Linked DNA regions of Styela clava. The protein of the gene in region 3 purifies or fractionates together with the protein of the main gene of each other region. This does not show direct contact. Links are inferred from orthologs where the notes say so. Each region holds a gene or a part of one and is shown on either strand. Other genes may lie near its edges.

Evidence for each region. The genes of interacting proteins can lie anywhere in the genome.
Region 1: the proteins of splicing factor U2AF 50 kDa subunit-like (region 3) and uncharacterized protein LOC120328439 purify together in Homo sapiens (affinity purification with mass spectrometry; 4 studies listed by BioGRID, with this or other methods). This does not show direct contact. The link is inferred for Styela clava from reciprocal best matches to the Homo sapiens genes U2AF2 and SNRNP70.
Region 2: the proteins of splicing factor U2AF 50 kDa subunit-like (region 3) and uncharacterized protein LOC120335474 purify together in Homo sapiens (affinity purification with mass spectrometry; 3 studies listed by BioGRID and IntAct, counting the BioPlex papers as one, with this or other methods). This does not show direct contact. The link is inferred for Styela clava from reciprocal best matches to the Homo sapiens genes U2AF2 and ACIN1.

What each region holds. Positions count from the first base shown.
Region 1 is NC_135256.1:9,927,457-9,937,839, forward strand, and holds the start of uncharacterized protein LOC120328439, read right to left. Parts: upstream 4,805-10,383; 5' UTR 4,719-4,804; coding exon 4,638-4,718; intron 4,421-4,637; coding exon 4,289-4,420; intron 2,585-4,288; coding exon 2,465-2,584; intron 2,390-2,464; coding exon 2,327-2,389; intron 1,496-2,326; coding exon 1,417-1,495; intron 1-1,416. UniProt on the Homo sapiens protein: Component of the spliceosomal U1 snRNP, which is essential for recognition of the pre-mRNA 5' splice-site and the subsequent assembly of the spliceosome. SNRNP70 binds to the loop I region of U1-snRNA.
Region 2 is NC_135251.1:12,561,485-12,571,624, reverse strand, and holds the start of uncharacterized protein LOC120335474, read right to left. Parts: upstream 4,805-10,140; 5' UTR 4,710-4,804; coding exon 4,575-4,709; intron 3,400-4,574; coding exon 3,328-3,399; intron 2,804-3,327; coding exon 2,725-2,803; intron 2,410-2,724; coding exon 2,222-2,409; intron 1,575-2,221; coding exon 912-1,574; intron 1-911.
Region 3 is NC_135261.1:11,542,290-11,552,551, reverse strand, and holds the start of splicing factor U2AF 50 kDa subunit-like, read right to left. Parts: upstream 4,755-10,262; 5' UTR 4,603-4,754; coding exon 4,573-4,602; intron 4,010-4,572; coding exon 3,789-4,009; intron 3,315-3,788; coding exon 3,050-3,314; intron 2,965-3,049; coding exon 2,758-2,964; intron 2,154-2,757; coding exon 2,004-2,153; intron 1-2,003. UniProt on the Homo sapiens protein: Plays a role in pre-mRNA splicing and 3'-end processing. By recruiting PRPF19 and the PRP19C/Prp19 complex/NTC/Nineteen complex to the RNA polymerase II C-terminal domain (CTD), and thereby pre-mRNA, may couple transcription to splicing.

The DNA.
Region 1 (10,383 bases), on a different chromosome or scaffold from region 3:
ACATTGTTTATGAAATTAGTTCATATGCTGGAAATGTTAGAGATTCTTATTTGATAATGCATTATGTCGCATGAATAATTCATATTTGAAAATAATTGAAATCTCATTTTAAACATTTTCTATTCTATTCTCTGGCCTTACCTCAACTACCTACCACCTGCGTTACCTACGAAATTAGTTGGTTGACTGTTACAGGACCCGATTATATAATCTCACAGCATTTCATGCAGGGAATAGACATCTTTTCAATCCAGAACTTACCCGATTTATATAATAAGTTTATCTTACTTCAAACTTAATCCACACATAACTACTAAGCACTTACTACTGTTGTCTGCTCACCACCAGACATAAATTGATATATAAGTTTTAGTTTTAATAAAAGTATTTTTAATGAGGTGTATTAATACCTCCACTCCAAAGGAGCTCTGAAATATCAGTCAAGGATATTATTCCACAAGGGACTTTACCTGATATTTTGACATATCGTAGCTCTTACCATAAAATAGTTACTATGACCTTGTAAAATGGTAAAGCAATCTTCAGGAAGTTGTTGCAAATTTAAAGACTAGGTGCAAATCCAAGGAATTAGAACAAATTTTGATAAGATAAAAACATCAGGTTTTAATTCAAAAGTGATCCTTTATATTGGCTATTGTGGTTCTTTCCAGGACTAGCTTTTGACACATCAGCAAGACATCAAACTTACCAAAGAGTTGAGCTAAATTTTATGACCCAGTGTACTTGCTTTTATCAATTTACCAAATTTAACTGCAAGATTTTTGTCATAAAGACCAAATAGGGTGAGATCTTTTGTATACAAACCCTTCTTACCAATCCAGCGAATAGTAAGGCGGTGAGTATACAAACCTAATACTGAATCATTTCAATTTTCATAACTTTGTAATGACGAGACATTCTGAAGTTACACAATGTGTGTTCATCACATTCACATTTTCAATGGCGCCTTTTTATGCAGCACATTGTTAAGCTGCGGAAAACGAGACAAACAATCGTTTAGTAAACTGTCACTATTTTATTTATAGTCATTAAGTAAAAAAACGACACTGGTATCGATAAATTTGGAGCGCCCCCCAAAACGAAATCTTGTGGTTCTACCTACCTTCCTGACCTTACATACAACAATAAACCGAAATTTGATAGAAATAATTTAAAGCAATAATTGTAGATGGCCAGTTTTCGATAGGAAAAAGATGTAAACACACCTACCACCAAAATGGTTTTGCAAGCTTGCATGTTATAATACAAGAAAGATCGCGCCTCTGTAGTATGTTGTTCTGATTGTCAATTGAGTTGATTTAAAATTATGATCCATTAAAAAAGAAGGCACAGTATTCATGTATTACAACCTGCAGTCTTGATTTGAAAATATTAACAACTGATTTTAACACTCACTGTGCATGTCCCTCTCATGTTCAAACTCAATAAAAGCATAACCCCGAGGTTTCCCATTCGAATCTTTAACCATAGATATCTAAAATGAAAAACAGAAATATTGAAAAAAAATCAAAAAAATTACTTCTGGCAAAAGGGATAAATTAACGAAAGAAAAAAGTTTGAATAAACAAATTGAATTTGGTCAAAAGTTTTATTTTCAGCTTTTTAATCATCGGCTTCAAATGACTTATTAACAAAGATTGAACAATATAGCAATATTAGCATACCACTTTTACATTTATCCCAAGGGGGAGCAAAGTCGATGGGACAGCCTAACTAAGTAGCGAACCGTGGCCTCTTGTCCAGTTACTAGTCGATGTTGAATATGGAAATGGTTAACCAGTTATTTGTTTCAGATGCATGATTCTGATGTCAAAGGAAGCCAATAACTGACCAGGGTAATCAGGGGCCCTACTAAAAAGGTAGGTATCACAGGTATCAGTCACTAAAAAGGTAGGTATCAACTAGTAGTAGATGAATTAAAAAGTGAAAAGGTAGGTAGGTTTACAGGGAGGGTATCAGTAACCCTGACCCCACCTTTTTGGTCATTTACTACTGCTATCTACATTTTTAGTCACTGATACCTGTGATACCTATCTTTTTAGTAGCGTCCGTAATCAGAGGTGTGAGGAAGTATATTTCTAGCACTTAGCATAATGCAGCAATTGCCATATATATATCCCCCTATGACTCTATGTGCAAGCAAGAAAGTACACTCGCTAACTAAGATACTAAAAAGCAAAAATTGCAAATTAACTCCGTGACAGAAGCGAAAAATTTACGCTTCTATCAGATTTAATTCAATGCAGAAATTGAATTTGCAACAAAAATCCAATTTTTGGAATATAAAACTCATAAATTACTTTACCTTACGTATGGGGCCATACATATCAAACTCTCTTCTCAGCTTCGACTCAGAGGTATCATAATTCTGAAATAAAGGAAACAATATCGAGTTAAAATTGAAGACTAGAACATTGAAAAAAGGCTACAAATTGAGACTTACTACGCGTGACACAAATAATGTTTTGAAGGCATCTCCTGTTGCACTTTTATTATTGTGGGGATCGTAATTTTTAACTTCTTCTTCAATTTCTTTTGCACGTAGTATTGCTTTCTCTTTTATCTGTTTGAAATGAAAAAAATGGTAGAAAAGATGTTGAATGTTATTAATATGGATACTTTGCACTTCGCAATCAGGTACTGATTGAATCAATCCAGTAACGCATTTTGAGTCGTATCTTTCCAACATGAGTCATGTATATGTAGGGATAAAAATGCTTATAAACCTTAGTATAGAGCAGGGGTGGCCAACACGTAGACAGCGATCGACCAGTTGATCACCACGACTCGAGTAGTCAATCGCGTCTGATGTTGAGTGAATTTGATAACATACCCCAAAAAATTGTCTTGAATTAATTTCATGCAGCGCCAGTTGTGTGTTTAAAAACTGAAAGAATACAGTACTGTACATACGCAAAATACGATATACATATACAGTATTTGAGTCTGGGCAAGCCCGAGAGCATATTATTAAGCAACAAATGGAAGTTTCGCCATGCCATGGTTAAAAAAAGAAGGGCTGAATATTGAGTAAAGCTCGACCGATATCACTTTTTGGCACCGATAACGATATATCGGCCAACTGGTGACCGATAACCGATATGGACATACCGATATCTACAACCTGAACCCGCAGTAAATACAAATAGAAAGAAACATTCCGTTTCAGTCAATTAAAAGTATATGTTGAAAAATAAAGCAGTCCTACACAGTGCTTGCATCATTAATAAAAGTTTCACAGCAAATAAGACCACACATTAATGCACAACAGAGAAAAGGCAGTCAGTAAAAAGCTTATAGAAGTCCATTTTGATCCATACAGTAGTAGGTGGGAGTAGGCTTGCACGTCATTTACGGAATTGTTTCGAGTTACGGAAGGGAAGTTACAAATTACGTAAAGTCGTAATTATTGGTCGAGCGCTTTCGCGTTTGAAACGTGCTCCTTACAAGCAGTCAATTCCGTCGATTGTAAAAAATGAAAGTTTGGCGCGGCGGTGTGGCTCAACGGACTAAGCATTAGGAATACGCTCGCCACCGCACCCCTAACTACTCTGCGTGGGTTCGCAGGTTCGAATCCCATGCAGGGATGGTTATGTGCGAGAGGATTGCTGCCATTGAGTGTCTTGACTGAAACACGATCCTACAATACATTCTACAATCCTATTCTGCAGTATTCGAAAGTTATTGTATAACTACGAGAGAAGTGATAAATTTCATTAGCAATAATAGCAGTGGCATCAGAATACCCATTTTTTCCAATTCCAAGCGAGCGAAGAATCGCACTCAGAGGAAATTATAAAGTAGATACTGAAGTTCGAGCAGTCATATAACATCCAACATTATATCTGGATTATGTGATTTGAATAAACCCCAAATGATGAAACATTTACCTCGGGTACAATTAGATTATCAAATTAACAATTTTAATAATGGAACATGAAAAAAAAACTTTTGTGACGATTTCATTAGGATTGCGCCTACAAATCCAAGCTTATTAGCAGTGGGGAAATTTTTGTATGCTGTGTGTAGTTATCTGCATATTCAGCACCCATTCGTTTGTGTATGACCCTTTTTCCGATTAGTCAATCGTGAGCTATTTTGAAGATTCTAGTCGATCACGGTCGAAAGCAGGTTTGTCACCCCTGATATAGAGCAGTATATTGGTCGTGATAATTGAGTTAAACATAAAATTAAGACTATGAAAATGCTTGATTGCCAAACTTTCAAAACATCCGCTGAATGCTACAATCTTTAAATATCAAAGTACCCTTCTGGCTTTCTTCTCTGCTTTTGTCTCTCCCCTGGTTGGTGGAGGTGTGTCTTTGGGATCTTCAAATAGTGAGGTATATTGTGAAACACCACAGTATGGATTCTTTTCGCGATCTTTCTCCCATGATAGCTATAAAACAATGTGAAACATAAAATATATGTTAACCTCATACTTTTATAAAAATACTATAAAGGGTCCAGCATTACATGAGACATATTTTGAAGAACTAACAACAATTATAATATGAATAAATATATCAAAATTATGAAGTCAAATTCCTAGATTATCTGATTATAGAATCATTTTACAGTTTTATATGGTATATTTATAATCATTTCTCACTTACCTGAGCAGTTGGAGGTTTGTACGGAACTGGGTCTCGAGCAGCAAATAGAGCTAGCAAGTTGGGAGGCAGAAATTGTGTCATTATTCTTGTATAAATTCAAAATAATATTATTTAGTATTTTTATTATTTCAATTTTGAATTTGTACGATCATGCAGTCATGCATGCATAATATAAAGTCTATTACCGGTACCGTACCGGTACAGTAGGAAAAGCACATCATAAATACATGAAATAGGCTATAATGAAAAACGGATACCGGTACCGTACAGAACGATACAAAATTTAGATTGAATGCCGAAATAAATTGTATTGAACTGTACGGTAACTTTTGAATATCAGAATACTGGAATAGACTGAAAATAGAATTTTCCTAGGTCTACTAATAGACTAACGTTACTGGCTTTATAAACGTTATTACATAAAAACTTGGTGGCTCTGACAATAAAGAGACCATATCTGATATATAATCTACAACGCAAATGCAATACCGGTACCAAGCATGGCCTGACAAAAACGAGTGCGGGCTAGCGTCACACGAGTGTGTGGCTGGCGTTCTGACAGTGTTATACGGTAATTTGAGGCATCCTAAACGCTCACAGATTACTAAATTACCCATATCCACATTTTAATCAGCACCAGAACCTTCCAGAGTCTGCCAATTGATGGCACAAAATGGCCACAATTGCCGGGAAAATGAATCAAAATCAACTGAACAATAATATCTCTAATCAAAGTTGCCAGATATGACGGTAAGCAAGCCTGAAATTTTCCGTCAGACCTAAAAATTAGGAAAATTGAAATCTAAGCTAAGTGCTTGATCTTTTTATGAATAAAATGTAGTTATGAATAAACCATACCTGATTTGCACAAATACATCTTGTAAAATAAAAAAAATGATGATGATAAAAACATTACACCAGCAGATACACATTGTCTCGATGGCTTTTGATGTCGAAATTCGACAGTTCATCAAAAAGGATTCAACGAGTTGTTTATCACGGAATTAAATTATCATATTATACAGTATATGATCTTACAAATTTCAAAAAATTCTATCGTAGAGAAAGACTTTAAATTTAAAGTCAAAATTAGCACACTCGACCGATATCAATATTTCGCGGTAATGGTGTTTCAAGTCAAATTTCAAATATAAATTGAAATTGATCCTAAAGTTTGTTCCTCAAAAAATAAATAATCATATTACATGGTACTTTTTTAAAAATTATCAAAAAATAAAAAAAATTCTACCGTCGGGAACGATTTTAAAATAAAACCCGAAATTGGATCTCTCGAATGATATCAATATTTCCCGACAACGGTGTTTTATGTCGAAATCCAACACCTAATTGAAAATATTCTAACAATTTGTTCACCATAAAATTAATATATTATAATTTATAGTAAATTATCTTACGAATATCAAAAAAAAAAAATTCTACCGCAGGGAAAAACTTTAAAATGAAACCGGAATCTACCCATGTCTAATGATATAACATCTAATGATATACATATTTCCACGACAACGGTTGTTTGTGTCGAAATACAACATTCTATTGGAAATATTCTAATGATTTGTTCACCATAAAATTAATATATCATAATATATAGTAAATTATCTTACAAATACCAAAATATAAAAAAAAATTCTACCGTAGGGAAAAACTTCAAAATAAAACCGGAATGTACCTATGTCCAACGATATCCATATTTCCCGACAGCAATGTTTTATGTCGAAATGCAACACTTAATTGAAAATATTATAAGAATTTGTTCACCATAAAATCGATGCATTATAATATATAGTAATTTACCTTACAAATATCAAAAAAAAATAAAATTCTACCGTAGGGAAAGACTTTAAAATAAAACCGGAATCTACCTATGTCCAACGATATCCATATTTCCCGACAACGGTGTTTTGTGTTGAAATACAACACTCAATTGGAAATATTTTGTTTTATTCTACATAAACTTGGGAATCTCTGTTCTCAGCTATGAACTTTATTTAGTCTCGTAACAGAAGTAGCCTAAAACATGAAACCGGTATGTCATGTATGTTTTTGAAAGTTACAAAATTTAAACCCAATGTCCAATCTCTATCAGCGTTAATGTAGCAGTAGAAGTCTCATATACTGATATATATAGAATAAGAAAAGTAATCACATATATTCGTCGGACTGATTTTTTTCGAATAGTGAATCTGCCTGTGCATGTTTAAGCAAAGCATTGTTTTTAATTTTTGTCGGCACGCAAAAAAATTTCTAAAAATATTTAGCCGATTTTATCACGCAAGCCGAAAAAGGTACCCACCCCTGTGTTATACCTTGCACAAAATTCACTCCCCCTACGAGGTTCTGGTTCAACCTGGCAGAACTTTGGGGTTTGACGAAATTCCCTGAGTAATAAAAAGGATTCTCTGATGGCTCGAAAAGGTTACGAATCACTGATTTGAAAGTTGGTTCAATATGGGCTTCCAAAACTTTTGCAGTTCGATGCAAGCCCAGCGCTTCTATGATTTTATGCAATGTTTAGTGGAATTTATACGTTTCATTAGTTTTAATAGTTGTGTTTTGAATCAAAAGTATAAAATTTACATTAGATATTCCGGTAGTACTCTGTGTGTAAAATTCGAGTATTCTGTGCAACCCCAAAACTTGCTGCGTCTCACCTGCGGTGTCGCAACTCCAGTTTGGGCTAGCTCTGCGCTAAATCGAGTCTTTATCAATTGTTACCATCGGTCTGAAAAATTAAACAGGATTTTCACATGTAACTCAATTGTATGGCTATGTATGTTATGTCTCCAACATTTGGTTTGGATGGAGAAATTAGTGTAAATTGGGCATTCAAACTGTCACAACAAGTAATATTAAGCAAATACCAAATGTCATCTGCATTGTTTATGTTTTGTGATCACGTGTCACAAGCGTGATCCGCTCGCAGCGATCCAGGGTTGTTAGATACTGAAATAACGGGACTAATTAAAAACTTTTAATTACAAAGGACTAATTAGCGTTTTCGTCCACTCTTCGCGCGGGAAGCACAAGCGACAACGCCTCAGTAGCAAAGTTACATGATGAAGCGCGGTCGATTTTGTGTGTGGTTGGTGCTGGAATATTACTCCTTATCAGTTTGTCTCTTTGGAACAATATTCAGGTAAGCTAAATATAAACAAGCGTTTGTAAAGCTGTTATATGGTTTCCCTAAAACTCTATATTTTTTTATTTATTTGGTTAATGTTGTTGCTTACTATCTTAATTTTTGTACATATTGCTTTTCACAAACATGATTTCTAAATCTTTCTGGTTGAAATTACAATTTCCTATAATTTTCAATATGAACTAAAAATCTAAACATACCTGAGACTTATTCTAAATTGACGAGTTAGCGAAAGATACGAAGTTAATGGAATAGCTCTGCTGTTTCATTCATCAGATATTCGATATTTTCTCAGGAGTCCTCGCATATTATATATATCCTAGAATTCAGTGATTCTCGCACTTTTTTAGGCCGCGCCCGATATAAGTCACTACGTAAGCTGCATTTCACATGGCACGCTTTACATCAATGAAATATAGATAACTTTCGAAACCTCAAATTTAACTCCAAATTCATAGATTGATAAATACTTGGCTTTTTTACTTTTATATTTTAGTTATTGTGGTTAGACGTATTCCCATTCCCGCATTAGAAAGTTCTGCAACAGTGTATTATTAATATCTTAACTTTTCAGATGCAGAATTGTTGTTGATGTTGAAATTGAAGATGCTAAGACACGATGTAACGAAACCGAGGGAAAATCTACAGGTAATATTTATACATTTTATTTGACTTTTCGACATCCATGGATTCATGTAATCAATATGGTAATGCCACATACTTAACAGAAGTAATAAGTCATATACAAGATGAGATGCAACACAATGTACCGACAGATCATTCCAAATAAGTAATATTTCATAAATTTAGGGGAAATCTCTGAATTATTTGAAAGGATTTATCTACGCAAAAGTTTTAAAATGCGCTCCTTGATGGTTGAATCACAATTTCGAAAGGCTGTTGTTGAATTGAAATACTTGTACGTTATTATTTTGGGTGAAAATACGACGATCATGTCACATACATTTATTTTCAGCTTTCAGTTGACAAGGCAGTATACTACGTCATCAATAAGAGAAATTCGTCTGAGTGAGATAGAAGCCTATCGAGTCTGACCAGCAAAGCAAGTATGTAATCGGAATCTTTTAATTTTAATCGTATAATTAGGTTCAATCTAAGGATCGTTGGAGGTTGAACAAATCCCCCGGTCAAAAACAAAACACTCACACAAACCCTCAAAATAAGGAAATTATTAACTACTGGCTTGAGGTTTGGGCCGAAAATGAAGATTGCGCTGGAAATTCAAATTTTAAAATCGTTTCTGACCCTAACTAGTTACTGATTTGTTATTTTCAAACTTGGCGGAGGTGTTTTTATCAAATCTCACATTTTGGGGTACTCCTGAAGTACACGTACCATGGAGGACACCGGAACGCAGTATGTGTACCAGGTTAGGGTTAGACTATGATGTTAATGCAATTTTCCTTATTTTAGTTCTTTTGGGAGTTCGGGGACTAGCCATGTGACTCCCGTAGTATTTGTACCTAAAATTATGGCCTAACCCTAACCTGGTACACATACTATGTTATGGTGTCCGACATCTTGGTACGCATACTTCAGGAGCGCCTATTTTTGCATTATTGTTGAGTGCTTTTTACAAAATATTCCAATCTAATATGCTAAAATAGCGCTGTTCGACCTTTTACTACATGTTACACCTTGTTCAATTTTTTATTTTCATCGTATATACTTCGCAAATAACCAAGATTATTTAATAAAATAGCGCAGAAAAGTTGTTTGGTGAAGTTATGATAGAAGTCTTACGCTGGTCACAAAATATTATATGTGCTAAATAAAAAAGGGAAATATTGGCTTTGATTTGTAACTATAGCTTTTACTCGGAAATTTCGAGACGTGGACAGACAAATACTTCATAAATTATTGAGCCCGATGTTGAACGGGACCTGCGCGCGTTCAAAAACTCAAAACGGGCCGGGAAATTTGATTGTTTGAATCAGGCTATAGCTCTAGTGTATCATCGTATGCCAATTGCTATTTGTATAGCCGGGATCTATCTTGGTATACTCCTGCTTATTTATGGTATATCCGGTTGAATATAACTGCACTGAAAAATTTACTCCAAGTTGGTAATTTTTTTGGAAATCTTCGACAAATTATCTTTTTTGTATATATATTTAGTATAAGCTTATCTTATAGCAGAAAAATTGCATTTCTTCGTTCTCCTTTTCGCTAGTTTGATCCCCAATGCACGCTCATAATTATTTAAGGCCAAATCTGTTAGAACCAGACCATTTATTTCGTCGAGTCGCACCTTGGAGTTGACTATTTTGTCCCACATACGCGTAATCTAGCGTTAAAAGGGTGGAAACAACCATTCTAAACAACCCATTAACTGGAGCAATAATCCCTGAATACTACGTAAAGAGCACGACACTGTCTATAACGGTGTTTTTTAACTGGGTTTGATTAAACCAAACCTGAAGGTCCTCGGAAATAATTTCACGAAATATTTCCTTTATCCAGCTTTTATGCAAACATCCACGTTTAACCGTTTAACCACGTTTAACTTACCGACCGTAATTTTGAATTCGTGATAAGGCAGAAATTATTTATTTTAACAATTCAGGA
Region 2 (10,140 bases), on a different chromosome or scaffold from region 3:
GTCATCATCGCGGATCAAGGATATCAGGTCATTACCCCTGCTATATCATTCAACGGCAAATTGGGCCGAAGATTGCGATCCTTTTAAAAACCGTCCCCTCTTGCATCAGAGGAAGCCTATACAGATCCATGTTCAGAGTTACGAAAATCACCTTATATAAACTTTCAAAACTAATCAACGAACGAAACTCAAAATGAAATCATTACAAATAAATTCAGATATGACTATGCAGCGCTCCAGAAGTGTATGTACCAATATGGAGGTAACTAATTTTGTTCACCTACTTCACATCAAGTTTTGTATAGGAACTGGAACCTATGGGCAGGGGGTATATTTACTTTACTTACTATATTTACAAAACTAAAATAAGGAAAATGGAAAAAAATTTATGGCCCAACCCTAACCTGGTACACATACTTTAGGAATAACGACTATGCTGACAATAAGTCAATTGACATAAAGATATATGCAATGGTGATTATAGATTAGTCCGATCCAAAATCTAAACTGATTCAGAATCATAAACTTCAACCTATTGTATGAATGAGTGGTTCTCAGGCAGCGATGCGAGCTCCACAAAAGGGGTCGTAGACATTTTAGTGAGGGGGCGTAAAGCTAATAAAAAATATTTGGTAGATTTGATACTACCCGCCTTATTTTGGATATTTACATTTCTTTTTTTGGATACTCCCATTCCTTCCACATATTTTTGAAGTGTTTTTCAAACAAAACATACTTTCGCCTTACTATCTGTTATGTTATTTGTAGGTGTAGTTATTTTTGAGGTGGCGCACGAGACTTGACAAATTTTAAAAAGTGGGCGTGGCTCAACAAGCTTGAGAACCACCTGTTTAAATATTTTCAACCTAAATTTTGGCTTCAAATACTCCTCACTGCAAATATATCGTTACCTCATTTGATCCATTATTAGTCTCGGGTTTTTCCTTCACTTCCATTTCCACATTTTCTTTATTTTCATCAGTCTCTTCAATTTTATTTTCATCATTTGGTTGTATAGTTTCTTCAGATTTTTCCTCATTCTCTGGTTGAATGAAGTCTTCTTGTTGTTCGACTTCAGTACTAGGAACAGGCTCTTTAGAAACGCTCTCAGAATTTTCCATTTTTTCTACATTGTCATCGCTTTTTTGTGGAATTTCTTCTTTTTTTCGTGCCTCTTCTGTTTTCTCTTGTTCATCAGTTTTGCTCTCGCTATCTTTCTGTAGTTGTGCTTCCGCCATTGGTTCTTGATCTTCATGTTTTTCACCTTCGTTAATTTGTTGCCCTTGTGATTTTTTCCCCTCTTCTTCATGAATTTGTTTCTCTCCAACATCCATTACGGTATTTTCTTTTTCCTTGTTCTGGTCGCTCGACTCTTCTTGCTTTTCTGCAAAATCCTGTTCCACAGATGCATTCTGTTCCATATGGTTTTCAATATTCTCTTCCTCTTGTACATTATCTTTGGTTGAAACTTTTTCATCTATCGGCTCTTCTTTCTTATTGTTGGTAGTAAGATCTTCTTCAACTTTGTTTGGGGTTCCTAGCTGTTCAGTTGTGGATTTTAAAGTTGCTTGCACCTGAATTCATTAGAGTATAATCTCAAAATTACTTTTGATAGCTAAACGATAGACGTTCATACTGATTATGTTCTAAGAATATATTCGCAATTTACTTCTGTGCTGGGTAACTTGAATTTATGTTTCACACTGCAAAATTGGAAATTGCCAATTTACTAGGAAAAGGCACTATAATAAAGTATTCAGGCTGCGAAATCGAAGAAAATTACAGCAGACTTTGATTCAAAATGTTACCTGTATCTTTATTGTATTTCTGGCAACTAGCATTTTTCCAGCTGGTTGAGCATGACCTGTGATGTCATCAGTTACAAGTGAGTGATATGACCAACCAGCTGTGAAGGTGAAGTGACCATGTGCACTGGGTAGTCTGGTGCACAGTTCAGTTGGTGTTGCTTATTAAGGATTACTTTGGTTATTGCTTTGGACATTTATTAAACATACATTTCAACCGCATTAACACCAAACTCAGGCTCATTTAAACACGATTCCAGCTTAAAAAGTCCTGGTTTAAATTCTGCTAAGTCAATGGCACCCACAAATTTTAACATTCAATATTTATTTCATTTTACCCGAATCGTCAAAATAACTTTCAGAAGTTATCTATTTCAAAAAAAAAATATGATACAGATATTATTAGGATAACTCACTGTTGTTGTTGATTCTCGTTCTACATGGCCGTGATCAGTTTCTTGCTGAATTTCTTCTTTATTATTTAAGCTCTGGTTACTTTCAGTGGTGAGTCTCCTTGATCTACGAGGGACAAGAGGAGACACGATTGAAGAACTTTTATGAGATGATGAATCATCTTCTGAATCTGCTTCTGATGTTGATGAAACTAAAAAAAAAGATTATTATATATTTTTTTCTTAACGATTATTCGCACTCCTCCAAGCAAGGGTCCGAAGAGGCAGCCACTGCCATATGATTGCGCCGTCGTATCGGCTTCCCTCACCCCGTGATAAAAATGATGTTGCTTGAAACTTTTTTTCATGAAAGTACAAGTGGGGAAAACATTCAAAACCAACAAGTAGACAAGGAGTCATAGAATACACTGCTTTCGATTCTTTTGCTTAAGATACAATAAAAACTATTCTCCTTCCAGAAATGGACACAGTGACCATAAAATACAATAGAAATATTCAAAACATACAACGACTGCTTTGCAGAAGTTTTCTTTGATTTTCCATATATTGCTTGATAAAGTCATTCTCCCCCGAATCGCCTGCAATCTGAAAAAAAATATTTGTCAGTCTCGAAAAGATAACTCATAAAGTTAACTCGACAGGATGACAAAAAAATTCAAGGATGATAGAAAGATCGTATTATAAAACAAGCAAATAATATTGAAGCAAAGGTACCGTCGTACCAGTAACTCAGAAGGCGTCCGAAGAAACGATTAAGATTCCAAGCAATTTCTAAAATGTGGGAAAGAGGCTTATTTTAGTAAAAGAGAAGAATTACACCATTTGTGCAAAGAAAAAGTCGAATCGTTGAAACTTTACTTAGTTTTTAAATAAGTTAAAATTCAAACTATCCAGAAGAAGAGTTGATTGAGAATACAAATACCTTATAATTTATGTTACAACAGGTATATTTTCATTTGGAAATTTCAGTTTTTTTAAAAATCTAGATATTCTCCTCTATTTTTTTTTTCCAAATAATATTCACACAAAGCGAGGTAAACATCTGAAATAAATGACTAGCAATGTAGGAAATTGATCAATTCCAAACTAAATAATTAGCTTTCACGAACCTCTGAACTTGGAAATGTAGCAGCACCAGGAGAACTTTGAGCAGCTTTCTTGAGATTTTCTAGCTCAATAGCCTGGCAAATAAAATGCAGGTCAAAATAATTTATCATACAAATTACAAACAAGAAAAAAACTTTGAATAAGGAAATAACGAAGCACAACCAGATAAAGCAATAATTCGAAACAGGCTATGGCAATGTCGAGGTATTACATTGCCAATGCATGATTACTAATAGTTTGATAACTAAGGCTGGGCATTTTCCAATACTTCAGAATATATATATTTCAAACAACCAAATTGGTTCATATTTCAGAATAAAAAGGAATATTTTCTTGAATCAAATCTCGATTACTTAGAAGATTTATAATTGTATATGGCTTTTTTGTTGTAACATTCCCTCGAAACAAAAGAAATACTGAAATATAGAATTCATTATTTAGTCAGTGAGCTCAGTTGTCAGAAACTTGTCACACACTTATTAAACATCAATACCTCAATAGGAAGAAATAGATCAAAATTGCATTTTAAAAATACGGTTTTGAGGGATTAACTCTGAGCTTTTGTAAATAAAAAAAATATGACGCTGATTAGAAGTTTTTAACTAAACCGATCAAAATAATTTACTAATTCTATTCCAAAAACCAAAAAAAAATTATGTTTCGTATAAATATGACTCTTTTTTTATCCATTTGTCTTTTGTTTATGAATATAATATTTTCTGAAATGACTCAAAATAGCAGTGACTTGAATTTAGATTAGAGCAGAGGTTCTCAAATGGTAGAGGGAGACATAAAATTTTTTTTTAAGGGGTAGTGAACCTGTTGTTAGATTTGATTTTGCCCGTCTATTTTGGATATTTACAATTTATTTATTGCTTAGAAATTGCTCAGAGCTGTTGTGACAAATTTTCTTTGTTTTCAAATCTTCATTATTTATGTTCCATCCACGTATTTTCAAACTGCTTTTTGTATAAAACATACTTTCGCCTTACTAGCCTATCTGCTACTTGTAGCTCTGTAGCTTATTTTTAGATAGTTATTTTTGAGGTGGGGCCCGAGACTTGACAAATTCTAAAAGGGGGGCACGGTTTAGAAAGTTTCAAAACCACTGGAGCTTTGAAATCTCCCTGTGCCAAAGATTGACGTCAGATGATAAACAGAGCTTCGGGAACATTAAACATTTTTGGCCTGCTGATTTTATGAGAGATATCATGAAAAATAAAATTTTAAATGAAGAGAACTAACTCACCGCATTGAGTCTCTTTATCAAAGTTGACTTATTCCCACCAGATGGTAGATTTTTTTCTTTACATGCCGCTTTCAATTCACTAACTTTTAATTCCTTTAATCTCTTCCCATTCAGAGTCACTTCTTCTTCTGACATTGTGATTCAGTCAGCACATACACACATATAATATGCCAATTTTCTATTTACTAAATACAAAACTCAGAAACAGATAGTCAAGTGTACTGAAAAATTATGATTTCATAGAAATAATGCTCGATAAAATTATAACCTATCGGTACCTTTATAACCTAAAACATTTTACTTTTCAGCAGTGTAAATGCGAATAAAAAATACAGTGATCACGAAATGTCAAATAAGATTTGAGGAAAACCTAATATTTTAAATCAAAAATTTCATCAAAATATCGCTGTATCGACGATTATATTGCAGTATTGAATGTGACGCTAATGCTGTAATGACGCAAATCTTCGTTGTAAGATACGTGCAACATCGTAAAGTAATATTTCGACTGTCTCAACGCAGAGAAAGTAACTTATGGTCTTCTATATTCCAAAGAGAGAGATTTTATTTTTTCGTCGACCAAAATAACCTGGTCCGCCGTGCAGATGTCAGGATGCGCAGATGCGAGTGAACAATTTTTGTGAGCATAAAATATTTGTCTGAATGTCTTGCTTGTAACATTAAAAAAGCTTGGCCAGCCATAGACTCGGGAGAAAAAAATTATTAAACGTTCAATTAATCAGACCAGATTCAATTGAGTCTAACATCAGAACATTCCACAAGAGGCCGTTCTCAGGTTTTAGTTATTAATCAGTACCGGTACCGTATCGGTATCGCTGTTCCGTACACGGTACCGGTACCTGTAATGTCTGAATGTGTTTTGGCGTGTTCGTGCAGTCGTGAGGGCAAAATGCGTGCTATGTCTGTATGTATACCGGTAAACGGTCACTTTGCACTTGTCACGGACTGACGGAATAAAATACCGGTATAGTAAGCTAGGTCATAGGTAGCCTACCTGTACGGTATCAATGAATTACTATAATTATTTGTTACCGTATTTGCTTCATTGAACTAAACCACGTTACCGCGAAGTTTACGTAGGTAACATTTTAGCAAACTGAGGATGCCTGGCCTAATTTCGTAACGAAATCGTAAAATCAAACTCATGCAGCGAATTCTCCAAGCCTAATTTCGTAACGAAATCGTAAAATCAAACTCATGCAGCGAATTCTCCAAGCCTAATTTCGTAACGAAATCGTAAAATCAAACTCATGCAGCGAATTCTCCAAGAACCAAAACCCCGCATTTTCCCGAAATCAGGTTTCAGCAGCCTTGTTTCAACGCTTAATCGTCGTGGCGGAGTCCGGAATCTTACATATTCAGAGAAACCGGTGAGCAAATAAACAAATGAAGAGCATACATGGGGTTTTCTAGTGCATACATGCGAATTTTCGTAGAAATGGGAAGATTTTGAAATCACACATTCGGTGTCCTTAGTCGATCTATTTTAAAAATAGAAGGCAGGGTTTTCTAGACTTTTATAAGTTCGCGACCCCTTCCAATATATTACAATTTTCCACATCATTGTGAAGTCGGCATTGTTATGCTTCTCCGATCTTACTATCAAAGTCACGGAAGTGTGCCGCTTTTCTGATCCTATTATATGTATTCTCTCGAAATCGTGAGATTAATGTTTTGGACTAGTTTTGATAATTATGTTTCTAATCAAAATTTTGAAAAATACAATAGATATAGCACTAGTGTAGCCTACTCTTTGTGATCCCCTAAATTCGTTGCGCGACCCCCAGTATGGAAAGATATGTCTCCTGAAACTCAAGAAAAAGACAGTATTAAAGTAAAAGACAGGCAAAGTTCAACTGAATACATTTCATATGTATAGTTTTTATCTGTATTAAAATTATATTTCTAATGATGTTAGGATAGATAGGAGTTACATATTTATCCCGGGGGAAAGGAAAGCCGATAAGACGGCTTAATCATATAGCGAACCACGGCCTCTCGTCCGAAATTTCATTCATACATTGTTAGGAAAGGATGGGATTTACATATTTATCACGGAGGAGAGAAAAACCGATAAGACAGCTTAATCATATAGCGAACCACGACCTTCCATCCGGTTACCAGTCTATTTCGGGTTTGGGGTTGGTTAGCCAGTTACTTGAGTCAGATACGGACTTGTTGGCGGAGAAAGCCATGGCCTACCAGCGGTTCCGTTATAGTGATTTGTTAACACTACAGATAAGTTGTTTGTTGACTGGATTATAATTGGGGGTTAATTGCTATAACGTGAACCACCCTACGGCGGCGAGAAGTCCAACAATCCTTTAGCACAGAGGTCACCAAACTTTTTTGGCCACGGGCCTGGTATGACTCAAACTGTGTTGAAACGGGCCGGATAAATATTTTTTGTCAAAGCAATAGGCCTACAATAAATTTCCATAAGTTGGGAAATTCCTTTAATTTATTCAACAATATAAATAATACATTTCTGAAGTCTCAAATATTGAACTCTTCTATATCGCAGAGTATAGATCTAGAACATCATAGCAAAACAATTATACAAGATTTCTAGACAACTATTCTGGGGTTAGCTGTTACCAAAACAATTGCTGTCATGAATATCCGCATGTTAGCAGTACAATAGTTAATGTGACTTGTACTATCAGCGCAAAAAGCTCGTTCGACGTTCATTTTAGCACGAGAAACGTACACAGCAACAGTTTCGCCGAAAGCGCGCGCCATTAGTGTATCTTTCGCAGAAAACGGTAGAGAATTTTAGCTTATTCTCTCACAGCTATTTCTAGACAATTTTTGATTGCTGCAATTAAACCGTAAATATATACTACTACGATTAAACAGCAACCTTGAAAGTTGCCGAACTCGAACAAATTCGTCGTCATGCTCATATTGTCACGGTGTGGATGTTTTACTGTGGTTGTTAAAATAAGAAGACCAAAGATTTTGTTTATTGAAAACAGAACATGGCTCTTTGAATTGCAAGAGTAGAAGAAGCATACACGAGTAAAAAGAAGTTAATCTTGAGCCTGACAAATGAAGATGAGAGAGAAATATATTTTTACTTGTCACTCGTGGGTGATGGGGTATGCCAAAGACGAGAACCTGAAATCGTTCTATAAAATGTCTAGGTCAGGGGTGTGCAACCTGCGGCCCGCGGGACAAATGCGCCCACAAGGAAAATATGTGCGGCCCGTTCCAATTTAAAAAAGTATACGGTCCACGAAACAAGTTTTTAATTTAGTTTAAAATGACACGTGCGAGAAGGCTAATTCTAATCCTTTACTCTGCATATTAAAAAACCGCTTTTCTCTTCGAATACTGGACCAATTGCTTTGAAATTTTCAGTGGTTGAAGATAAAATTTTTCCCGAGAAGGCTATTACTTTTAAATATTTCTGTTAGCTCTGTGAGATTTGTTTTTGTTTGCTATGACGTCATTAAACGTTCTGCCGACATCGGACGCCATTTTGTGTCCTACTGTACTGCTTCGCTTGGTGTGAATATATTTGTAGACTGTGATCTGACGGTACGGTAAACCGTACTGTACTGCGAACAGACGTGTCCATATATTTGGGCGTAGCTCTCTTGTTTCAATAGCTATGCCAAAATTTATCAGTATGGTTTAAGAAATTAATTTAGACCTCAAAATTTATTCACAACGATACTATACAAATGTAAAACTGGACACTATTCCAGATTATTTTTATACGAAACAAATGTTATATAAACACGATTTGATTGACATTGCACAATTTGTGTAGCTTTTCTGAAATCCAAAACTTCTTCTTATGTGGCAACCCAATAAATGTATGTTTGGAAAAGCATCATGTAGGGCAGGGGTAGGCTAACACGATATACCAAGGTACCAATGTCTCGCTATTGTATAAAAAAAGTGTATTTAAATGCACAGGTAGGATAGTACGACACAGACTTCAAACCTACATTTTTTTTGTTATGGTTCTAATTAACAACATTTTGACCAGCTGCCACATAAATACATGGACGAATGAAACAAAAAATACTTCACAGCAGGAGTCGGCAAACTGCGGCCCGCGATCTAATTTTTTGCGGCCCTCGAACGACTTGACTTTTGATGCAATAAAACAAAAATCGATTATAAATTTATTGTTGTCTCCACACGGATTTACGTGGTAACAAGTGCTGCTGTACGTTGCCTTTTTGTAGTAAGTAGCGTCAGTTGTATGTCGTCGATGTTGGTTATAATTATAAGTTATGTTTATTAAAATATAAAAATGTTCGGAAACGGAGGGAGTTCAAATATTCCAAGAATATTCGAAAGTGTTTGAACAGAAAAATGTTTTTCTTCCTTATGCATTTCAAAACCAGTTTGCTTGTCATGCCAAGTCAGCATCGCAGTTTTAAGGGCCACTGCTTTACAGAATATTGTTACCCGGAAATATTATCCTTAGCTCTACCATATCCAATTCACGTGACTGTGTCTCCACATAAGGAAATTCAATGTAAGTTAAAGGTTAATTTGCACCGATTTTATTCTAATGATCATTTTCAGGTGATTCGTGGACGGATCAAATTTCAGAAAACATTACTCATCACAAATTCAACGAATTTTGTGTGGTGGCAACGACAAAAACACGTCACGTTGATTAACTTCCTTTAGTTCAAATGGATGGAGGAAACGAGTGGAATCGCTTTACAACCGTGAACAAAAAAAACTGTCAGAAGTTGGGTCATTTTATGATTACTGGCTTGAAATGTTTGTATGATAAAACTGGAATCGCTAAATATTTATTGTTACGATGTTGCCTTGTTGTTGCTTCTTGTTTTTTAATCGATAACTAGATTTTCCAAGTGTAGAAGGTGTTGGGGTGGAAGGTACATCGACGAGCAGGTTTAGAAGTTCCAAACAAAGTAGAATTTGTTACGGATTTTCCACAAATCGCTTCAAAATACCAAAAGAAGTTCATTCACTGGATTGCAAAATCATTGTTGTTAATAATATTCAAGGTCGTCCAACGTTTTTAATTTCCATATTGTATTCCCGATTGCACTTTGCAAATGTATGTGATTGATGGTGGTACTGAATTTTCGGCGTGCGGAATCACACAAACAAACGTACGTTAACGTTTAGTAATGACCAAATGCATTGTGATAGGCAATTTTACACGGTTCGCAAAGAGATCAGATTGCGGGAAATATTATCCATCATCAGATTCAACGAATTACAATAAATTGATGTAGATGGGAAGGCCAATCCTAATGACATAAAACACGTTTTCTTTTTCATAGAGGATTCATTTAACTACGAGATCAACGATTACTGGCATAATCGATAGGCGCCAGGTGTGTTTATTCTTTATAAAAATGAACAGAAACGTTACTAATTTATTGCCAATGTGTTGCTTTGATGTTTGTTCTTGTGTTATTTGAATTAAATATAATTCTGTATTCTCAGTTACGACGAAGGGAACGATTGTCAACTCGATAAAAATGAAATAAGAAATAATTTTGTAATTTAACTTTGAAGTTCACGATACCACACGATTCGT
Region 3 (10,262 bases):
AATGTAACAAAACACATTTTTCGAGATACAACTGTATTTTCGGATACCGGGTGTCATGAAGAGTAAAATATGATCTGAATTAACGGTAAATAATGTTTCATTCCAAATGTATCATAACGCTTTTTTGCGATATAACTTTGTATTTTCGAAAACGGGGCGTCACGAAAATTAATAATCTAATGTTTTATCTATCGTCTAACTAACGTCTGGAACACATCATTTTCGGGGAGAACTCTAGCCCGCGAAACGTCATTTAATTTAAAATAAAGAATGTTTCACGCATTTCAAAACGGAAAATCACCAGTAAGTGGACAGGGATTCAACCCTCCGGATTCAGTATTCTATATCCCCGTGTCAGAACTTTCTGAAGAATAGAACAAAGAACCCGTCAAACCGCCGCGGAAGAATGGGAGTATTTTTTGCACTAATACTTAGGGCATGACAATATCAAAATCGTCAAGAAACTGGTGAATTTGCAAATTCCATAAATAAAATTGTGAATTGCTCGGTAACATTTTAGCTATAATTATCGCCGGGGTATTGTTTTGTTGAAAACACGTTGAAACTTGAGGGAATTAGTTACAATTAGCGCCTGACCTCTATTAGGCACTCGAGCACTCGAAAAAAAAAGCACTCGAGCCCAATCTTTTTAGCATTAAGTCGCATACGTAAAATATCCTGTAAAAGAAGTGCTGTTCATTAACGCCATCTCGTCTTATGACCACGCAGAAATGCCTTTATTGCCGAATTATTCAATCACTATTTTAAATCAACATTCAGGATTGGCACAATTTCAGGTTTGCCAAGTTTATCACCATAGAAATACATGACAAAGTTAATTATCGTCTTAATAAATATCTGCATCACGGTATGGACAATAATATTACCATTCCCATAAAATTGGGACGGTAAATTTACAAATCTTGATAGGTAATATTAAAGCCAACGCAAATGTTAATTTGAGTCCTCAATGTCTTCAACAGCTGTTGCCGATGTGAACGAACGGGTAAACCCGATATATAAAACTTTGATGACCGCCGACCCACAAGAATTCATATTTGTAAAAAGGAGAGGGCGGGAATATAGATTACCCAAAACCTGGATATCGCCGCCAAAACCATCGGTGACAAGAACAATTAGCCATTACAACGGAATTAACCAGTAAAAAGGCTTTATTGCCGATTTTTTAATGTTTCCACCACGTTTATTCGGTACTCCTTAAAAATATTCGATTCAAAAAAATATTGAATTTTGCCCACCTGTCCTCGCATATCAATGAGGAATAGTTGTGTAAATATCGCAAAATTCCGGAAAATGCCACGTCCCTTCAACATTGTGATTACAATAAAATGGCACTTAATGGTATTTTGTGAATTTGGTGATTTTGCAAATCTGTGACATGCTGCTAAAAGTTTCGTCTGATTTGAAAATCGTGCAGTTTGGTCACAATTCATCCAAAGTGACTATAACACGTTACTAACACTTTTATAGTCATTTTGAATTCATCGATATCATTGATAGTCACATGACCTTCAAAGAAACGCACTGCCTAGTATTCCAACATCTGGTTTCAAACACCCGGGAGCGTTTTTTGCGGGAGAAGCGGAATCGGTGTGCTTGTATAATAATCATATTATAAACAAGAATTTTGCCGTTAATGCAAAAGCTTTATCTCCTTTGTCTGCATCTCATAGGTTAAAATTCCGATAAATATCGTTATGATATGCAGAATTGAGTTACAAAAGTACTAGTATGTTACTTATTTGTCAACTTAATACTCGAAAATATTTGAAAACTTTGAATTTTTATTCCATTCAAAATCGGAAAAAAGTGCTTTTTCTCTTCAAAATCGGAAAAAAGTGCTATTTCGCAGTCCCTAAAAAAAGTTGCGAAAGTGTTTCGCAATTTTCGCAAAAAAGTGCGCTAATAGTGAACACTGTATGAGAGACTTAACAAATTTGACTACGGTAATTCTACATAATTTCAATACAACATAATATTACCTTATGTAGAGAATCTTGTACGACAGTTGAAACAACACCTGGCAGATGAACAGAAGGTGTTTCTGAAGATCCTGGCAGTGGTTTGTAGTCACTTGGTCGTCGAATTTTCAATGATTGACCCATGAAATTTATACCATCAAAAGCAAGAGCCTTAAATAGAAACAATACTCCAGCTTGATATCTACTTGGCAATAAGTATTAATAGCTGATGGTAAGTTTTGCATCACACTATCTGGTGATATAGAACCAGGGATGTCCAAAACGAATCAAATATCGAATACAATATCTCAACCGTAACAAACAACACAGAGAAAACAATGTCTTTTATATTTATGTTGTTTTAGATATTTCATGTAATTTTTCACATGCACTTGCCCCAATGTAGAATGTAAACAATACTTCAAATTCGAAAACGTTTTCTCATAATGTATTTAAAATAGAAAAATATTCGGCTTTGGCCATCCTTGTAGCCTATAGAATAAAGTCTGGTATACTGTTGTGGTGTAATATTACATTTTTTTTCAACATATAAAGCAGTTAAGCAAATAGAAATGGCAGCGAGTTGAGAAATGGTACACAATATCGCATTCAGACATATTATAGCAATTGGACTTCTGTCCTGTTTATTTATCTAGCGGTGAATTATATCAAATCTCTTTCTAAAAATCTTTATATCTACTTATATATATACTTATATCTGTTTATATATCTAACAGTAATAATATATCAAGATTTGAAAAATTTCTGTATTTACCTGTGTAGTTTCATCCACAGATCTGAACTCTAGGAAAGCAAAATTTTTGTCAAGGTTTATCTGAACAGCTAATACAGGGTTTCCGGGCGCTTGTGCAAGACCAGACATTTTCATTTGTTGATTGAAAAAATCCATCATGGCATCCTCTGTCACCCCAAAAGGTATGTTACCAACATATAATCTCCGAGCTTGGAACAAGTAGAAAGGCTGAAAAACAGTAAAACAATACATCCGTGTATAAATTGCTTCACTATAAATCCATTCAATTCATGAAACAGGTAAAATTACCCACACAAACCTGACGAGTCATCTGTGTCCCCGGTAGAGGTGCCGCTGGACCAGTAGGTGTCCCAGTGCCAAGACTTGGAGTTGTAGCCATAAGAGGGATCTGTCCAGCTGCTTGCATGGCCTTGTATTGAAGTGGGGTGAGGTGTTCAAACCCAGATGGTGCCACGTCCCAATATTTGTATTGTTTCTTTTTCTTTGTAGCTGTAGTTGGTTTTTCCTTGCTTCGAGATCGACTGCGTCGCTTTCTATTCTCTCTTGACCTCGATCGCCTGTTGGGTTAAAAAAAATTTGGGGTCGCTGCAATTTAGAAAACAAGAATAATAAATCTTTGTAATATAATAAATATGCCTACAATAGCCATGGACCGAAAAGCCAAATCACTTGGCACAAAATAAACTGCATTATTAGGAACTTGAAATTCTATTAGAATATAATCAATCAGAAAATTATATTATTTTAAATATAAAAAAAAAATCCATTCTATAAAAATATTTTATAATAAAATCTTACTTACTTTGATACTTACTCCATATCTGATAATAAAAAAGTCAATAAACTACATGAATTTAAAAAAATTACTAAATATTATTTATCATACAGATAAAACTTGAATTTAATCCAATCACGAATCATATTTATATATCAATATGACCTGCAGAGTTGGTTATTATGCTTATGATCTGAGATTGTTGAAAGACATTTGGAAATGAATTCAAATTCAGCCATCCTCGCATACACAGTACCTTCGACGTTTTTCTCTGCTTTTGCTTCTTCTTTTCCTATCTCTATCACGATCCCGATCTCTGCTGCGTCTCCGGTCATGATCTCTATCACGTGACCTGTCTCTCCTCTTACGATCACGCCTGTCTTCATTGCCACCTTGTGGTTTTATATCTTCTCCATATCCTTGATTATTTCCAGGTGGATAACCACCATTTTCATATGAATCAGGACCAGCCTCTTGCTGAAAATAATGTAAATAATTTTATCAAAAACCTTTTTTGAATGTTTGATTAGGTCTTGTCTCATTCTACCGAAATTAGAAATCAATCAAGCATGCCTGATCAGATGAAAGAATTGCGACACACTATTGCTTCTCATTTTTGGCTCCCTAAAGAAAAACTATGGTTGTACCAGTTGGTAAAAGCAAAGGAATATTTTCAGCAATATCAAACACTGAAACTTGAATTATTATACAAATGTATGGATAAAATGTAATTTACATGATTTATAAGCTTAAGAATTGATATTTTAATAACTGAATAATTATTTCATGTATTGTTTAACGTTAAGTTACCACTTCATTGATCATCATGCATTCATGTGTACAGTACGGTACCGTATGCTTGTATGACGTGGAGGCAAAATTGCAGTACCGTATTTTCACTATAACAATTATATTATGCATAATTATTTCAATTCAGATACTCAAACAAATTAACGTACGTTATGGAATTAAAATATAATTGCCAGCCTAGAGCAGTCAGGCAGCAGAGAACAAACCGGAATACCGGTACGGTATACTACCTTCATAAAGGCCTGTTGGTTCTGGTCCATATTGTACTTCCTGAACCTCCAATTTCGACAATACAATTAAAAATCAGGTACGAAAAATTTAAATTCACTGAGGTTTCTAATGTATCACGAATTATTCACCCACAGACGGCTGACGAGCAGTACAGAACAATTGCAGACGCAAATATGTCAGACTCGAGGAAAGGAACTACAAGTCACGTGATTATTCCTCATCACTAGAGGCGATAGTGACACATAGACTATATGAAAATGGATACTTACTTATAGGCCGCGAGCCGAGGCAGTTTATCTTTCAGTTTCGTAGCGCACAAAAGTGAACTACCTGAAAATGATTTTAAAATGTTCCTTAAAAATTTGCTAACAAATAATGACTTGTTCCCATTTCCAAAAGTTGCACGCTTTACGGAAAAGACGCTTTAGCTTTTACTACAAGAAATATGCGCTATGATCTGTCCTATATTCTCTGCTTTTCCGGTATCATGGACCAATGAACGCAGACTTCTGTATGATGTAACAATTAAATTGGTCAGCTGTAGGTGGATCCCCCATGGTCGGATGGATATCACTTTCAATACGGTAGTTTTTTCAGTTAATATTACTTGATTTCTTCTAAGAAAGTGTTAAGAAGGATGATAAGTGAGCTATTAAAATAAAACAATTTTTTTTTTGACTTTTTTCGATAACAAGAAATCTTTCCTACCCGTTTTAAGGTATTATAATGTATGTTTAGCAGTTTTTTTTTAAATAAAAACGTGTTATTTATACATGAATGAATATCGGTTATTACATTTTTATATTTGAAAATCTCTAATTTATTATTTTGTTTTTGATAAATGAAAATAAAAAACACCCCCCCCCCTCCAAAAAAAAATAGGCCCTAGTGGTATTTATCGAAAAAACATTGAAATAAGACACCGTTCTTTTTTCCGGGAAAACACGGTAGTACAATGGTTCCCAACCTTTTTACCCGCCGGCGATAAAATTAAATTAAATGTACTCGCGGACCGGCAAGAAATTGAAATGACCGGAACAGAAAAGAATAACATATATTTGCATAATATATTGCAATGTCAGGCGCTCAATATGCTTCTAGCCAAAAAGGCACACTTAAAAACTTTCACACGAAGAAAAACTATCAAATAATGTGCCGGCCAAAAATTGAAATGAGTGAAACATAAAATAATACTATGTATTTGCGTAATGAAATGCAGTGCTGAGCACCCATTATGAATAAGAAAGGCAAGCATAAAACATCTCACATAAAAAACATGTACATACCAAATCATGTGCAAACGCAATTAACTGAGAATTTTGCTGCTGTTTGCTCCGTTTCCAATATAGGATAGCAAACGAGGCCTCAAAGAAGTTTTCGCAACACGTAGCTCTGAGATCCCCAAAACAGCGCTCTTACTCCATAGTGACACCTTGTGTCCCATCACTAATTAATTAATAACTTGCTAATTATACAATGTAATTCATCCAAAACCAATAGGCTTCTGGTTCGACATATGATGAATGCACAATCTGGAGCAGATTCAATATTGCTTTAGTGAGATATTGCATGCATCTAACAGACAGACAGACAGACAGACAGACAGACAAATACCTATCAACTTACTTACCGATTAAAATCGATAAGTAACAACGAAATTTCTCGCGGACCGGCAAAAAAGCTTCGCGGACCGACACCGGTCCGCGGACAGCCGGTTGGGAACCACTGACTTAGTATGTGCTGTGTGTGAAATATGTAAACAACATATTGAAACCTTATTACCTTTATTACTTATCGATTTTAATCGGTAAGTATGTTGATAGGTATTTGTCTGTCTGTCTGTCTGTCTGTCTGTCTGTCTGTCTGTCTGTCTGTCTGTCTGTCTGTCTGTCTGTCTGTCTGTCTGTCTGTCTGTCTGTCTGTCTGTCTGTTAGATGCACGCGATATCTCACGAGTTACCACATTTTTGTGATCTCGAAGCGGGACCCCCCAAAGACCATATCTGTGATTTTTGCTCCTTTAAATTTTACATTGGGGGCCTATATTTAAAACCATTCCAACCGTCTTCATTGACCATATTGTAATCGAAAGTTCATGCGCTGTCTGTCTAATTATCGGTTTCAGTTCGAAAAATAGAAATAAATTTACGTTAACGTTAAGCCCCCTTTTGGCGTACGATGCTTACACGTAACAAAATGTAGCAATTATCCGTAATGTAACAAAACAACGGAACAAACAAAACCACGCACGCATCTTCAGTAAGAAGGCTAACGGTACGCTACACAGCAACAACAGTGTCAATAACATTATAATTTGTATTGTTCGTGTTTTATGCTGACTGGTTGAACGCCAAAGCGGGACATTTGGCTGACCTGTCGGGATACCGGGACAAGACGTTGAAAAGTGGGACTGTCCCGCCTAAAGCGGGACGTATGGTAAGCCTAGTTATGCATAGAGTTATCTGGAATGATGTTGTTATGTATTGCTATGATGTATTGTTTGTTGATTGATATTGTTTATTACAATATTGTTTTATTTTATTGCAATATTGTATTATTTTATGAAAATCCAATAAAAAAGAAAAATATTTTTTTGAAAAAAACGGTGAAATAAGTAAATGTTATGGCAGTTGGTACAATGTATGCATATTGAATCCGGATATGGCCTCGTTCTTTTGGTTTCATATCAAACGCAAAGTTGTCATTGTGAAGTCACCGTTAACATCTTGCTGATTAGATAATGTTGCGAAAGTAGTCAAGTAAGTCGATTCTCGTAGAAACACCTGTACTTCAGTATACAGACAAAACGCCAGATTTAGCCTTTAGATTTAGTCTCATTCGAAATCCTAAATTGTCAGTATATCAAATTTAACCTGCGTATATTATGACCTCATCGCAGTAGTAGTGAACATTTATTATTATTAATACAAATATTTTTCTAGTTTCATGGTATATATGAATGGAATTAAAATTTCACCATGCGATTCTGTAATCTGAATACCATCGTTTGCAAGCAGTTCCCCGAATCCCCACGTTGACCAATGATAGTTGGACCCACAAATGATGCGATGAAGAAACTGGACAGAATGGCGAGAGCAAACAAAAAATCGATTGTGCAAAATTGAGAACGCGGTGGTGAGTAGAATAATTTATCATTGATTAGTGTAATAAATATACTGTAGTTATTGTTGCTGAGGACTGTTCAAAACAAGTCGCAAAGTCTCCATAAAATTAAAAAAAAAATCGAATTTATGAAAACATTTCAAGATAGGAATGTCGTAACATAGCGGTAATCTTTGCATTAAATTGATGATCCCGAATTGCGCAAAAACATATTTGAAAAACCTGTAACTTCGAACAACATAAACCTCTCCGCTTATATAGGAACTGGCAGCAAACTTACATCTTAGTTAGTTCAGTGTTAGGACTAGAGGCAACGTCAAACATCCCCCCTCCTCTTTTATTTTTAATTCGCAGAAGAAAAAAAACTATGGTTTCCCAAACGTCGAATTATTTTTCTGTTACTCTTGGTGAACTGCGCCGCATTCGGGCTTGCGAAAAAACAATTGGGCTTAACTCCAGGTTCGTTTTTGGATGACCCTTGGTTCTTGTTATCAATTCCAACAATCAAAGTGATTGGCGCAGGTCTGACTTTCTGAAGCTCAATCTCAACTACAATGATATTGTTTTGGGAACTAGGTCGTTTGCCAAATCCAACGTCATCATATTCATTGTTTTTACTTTCATTAGCATCTTCATATAAAAATGTGCCCTTAAAAACACACACAAATTTAATACGATTTTCTGCTAAGATTCTACACTCCCTTACATTTACAATTCTTTTTCTAGATCGCTGAAAAGACAAATAGGAAATCTGAATCAATCTAAAAGACTTCTCTACTATGATGAACCATGATTCACCAGCCTAACGCGAACACCGGAGACCGCAAGCAGTAGGTAATAATACAGCGGAACTTTGGATGAAATATCAGATCTCGTCGGATTCATATAAAAATTTAGGAATAAATAATAGTAATAGCCATCGAACGAATAATATAATCTTTAACCACTGAAAATTTCAAAGCAATTGGTTCAGTATAGTTAACGATTTTTTCATACGGTAACAACAAGAAGAAGCGGTAACAACAACATAATAACAAAATGATCCACGATCAATTTTGATTGCAAAAATTTATATTCTAATTGTGAGTCAGACAATGAAAACTATATATAGCGAAGCAGCTTCTTATACATTTTATATAATTAGGTTTTCTGGTTTTACTGACACAACATCAGAACTCAACTTGACGAAAATAACCGAGTTTTGGACAATTCGCATCATCAAATCAAACTTCGTTTGGCTACTCGGTTACAGAACACTTGAACATTAGTCCAATTAATTTAGATTGAGAAACGACAAACTGGACAATGACAGAACAATACTTTAATAATATCTGCTGTGGTGTATGGAATTGCGCAACAGATCGCTCCAGAACATTATTAAAACAACATAGGCTACGTACATTTACATTTCGAGTACCCTACTTGGATACCTGTCGCTCCGCATCGACACAGTGAAAAAAAAATTCCGCGTAAAATACCGAATCAATCAAAAGATGAAGATATTCCGTCAACTTCTAGTGCGACAGAAGTTTTTGTATCAAGTATATCTAATGTTTTTGTTACTTTTCTGGATTTGCGTCTGGCATGACAACACCAAGTGTTAGGAGTAACGATACCACAATTGTTACAACCGTTCCTAGACCCGTTAATCCGGCGTCCTTGGCTGGTGTTGTTTATCCTAATAGTCAACAACCAAATATATGTTATGGAAATATTCCGTATCAAATGTATTGTCAGAATTATTATTCTTATTTTCATAGTAACTTCTTATGGTTTCTGCGCAAAACCCATTTTACTAGGGGTTCCAACAGCCCACCCTAACATCAATTTATCCAACAAATTTCTGTACAATTTGTACCGGGTTATATAGAGGGACCTAGTCCTGATATTCCACAGGAAATTTACGATAGAGCTCATTCAGCATCAAAAATGCGTAAGCGTAGTATCAAAGTTTTCATGATGGTGATGACCTGAACAATTTCGCAATTTGATTCAAATCAAGTACGTCCCATACCAGAGCTAAAGATAACCACGCAAAGGTAATTTGATTATATAGCTTTATTGATGCAAAGATTATTGGCCATTTGAAAATTTATTTCGCTCCAAGATAGATATAATTCTGATGTTATATTCAATATATTGCAATACTTGATACAGTTTTTCTGTGTGGCTGGTGAAAGAAACCCCGATAAGAAATTTAGAGATCGTTTACAGCTAGTGGGTGAGTGTTAAATACTTATGCCCGAGATTTCGATTGTTAGACTTACTTGGCCTATGAACAATCACCAGCTACAAAACGTTTAATATGTCAGCAATTTTTGAATGAATTTAGAAACCCCAGGGCTCAGGAATTTCTAAATGGCTGAACCTATAGCTAAGCATTTACGAGCGTATGTTAATAAGTGTTCAACTGATCGAGCAGTTGAGACCGACAAATATACAGCTGTTTGCGTGGATCCAAATTGACCACAAATCTCACATGTTAATGCGATGAGCTCAGAGTTAAGATATAGCGGTAGTTGTAATGGCGATCCCAGACATCAAAATTATTGCAGAAAACAAAATGA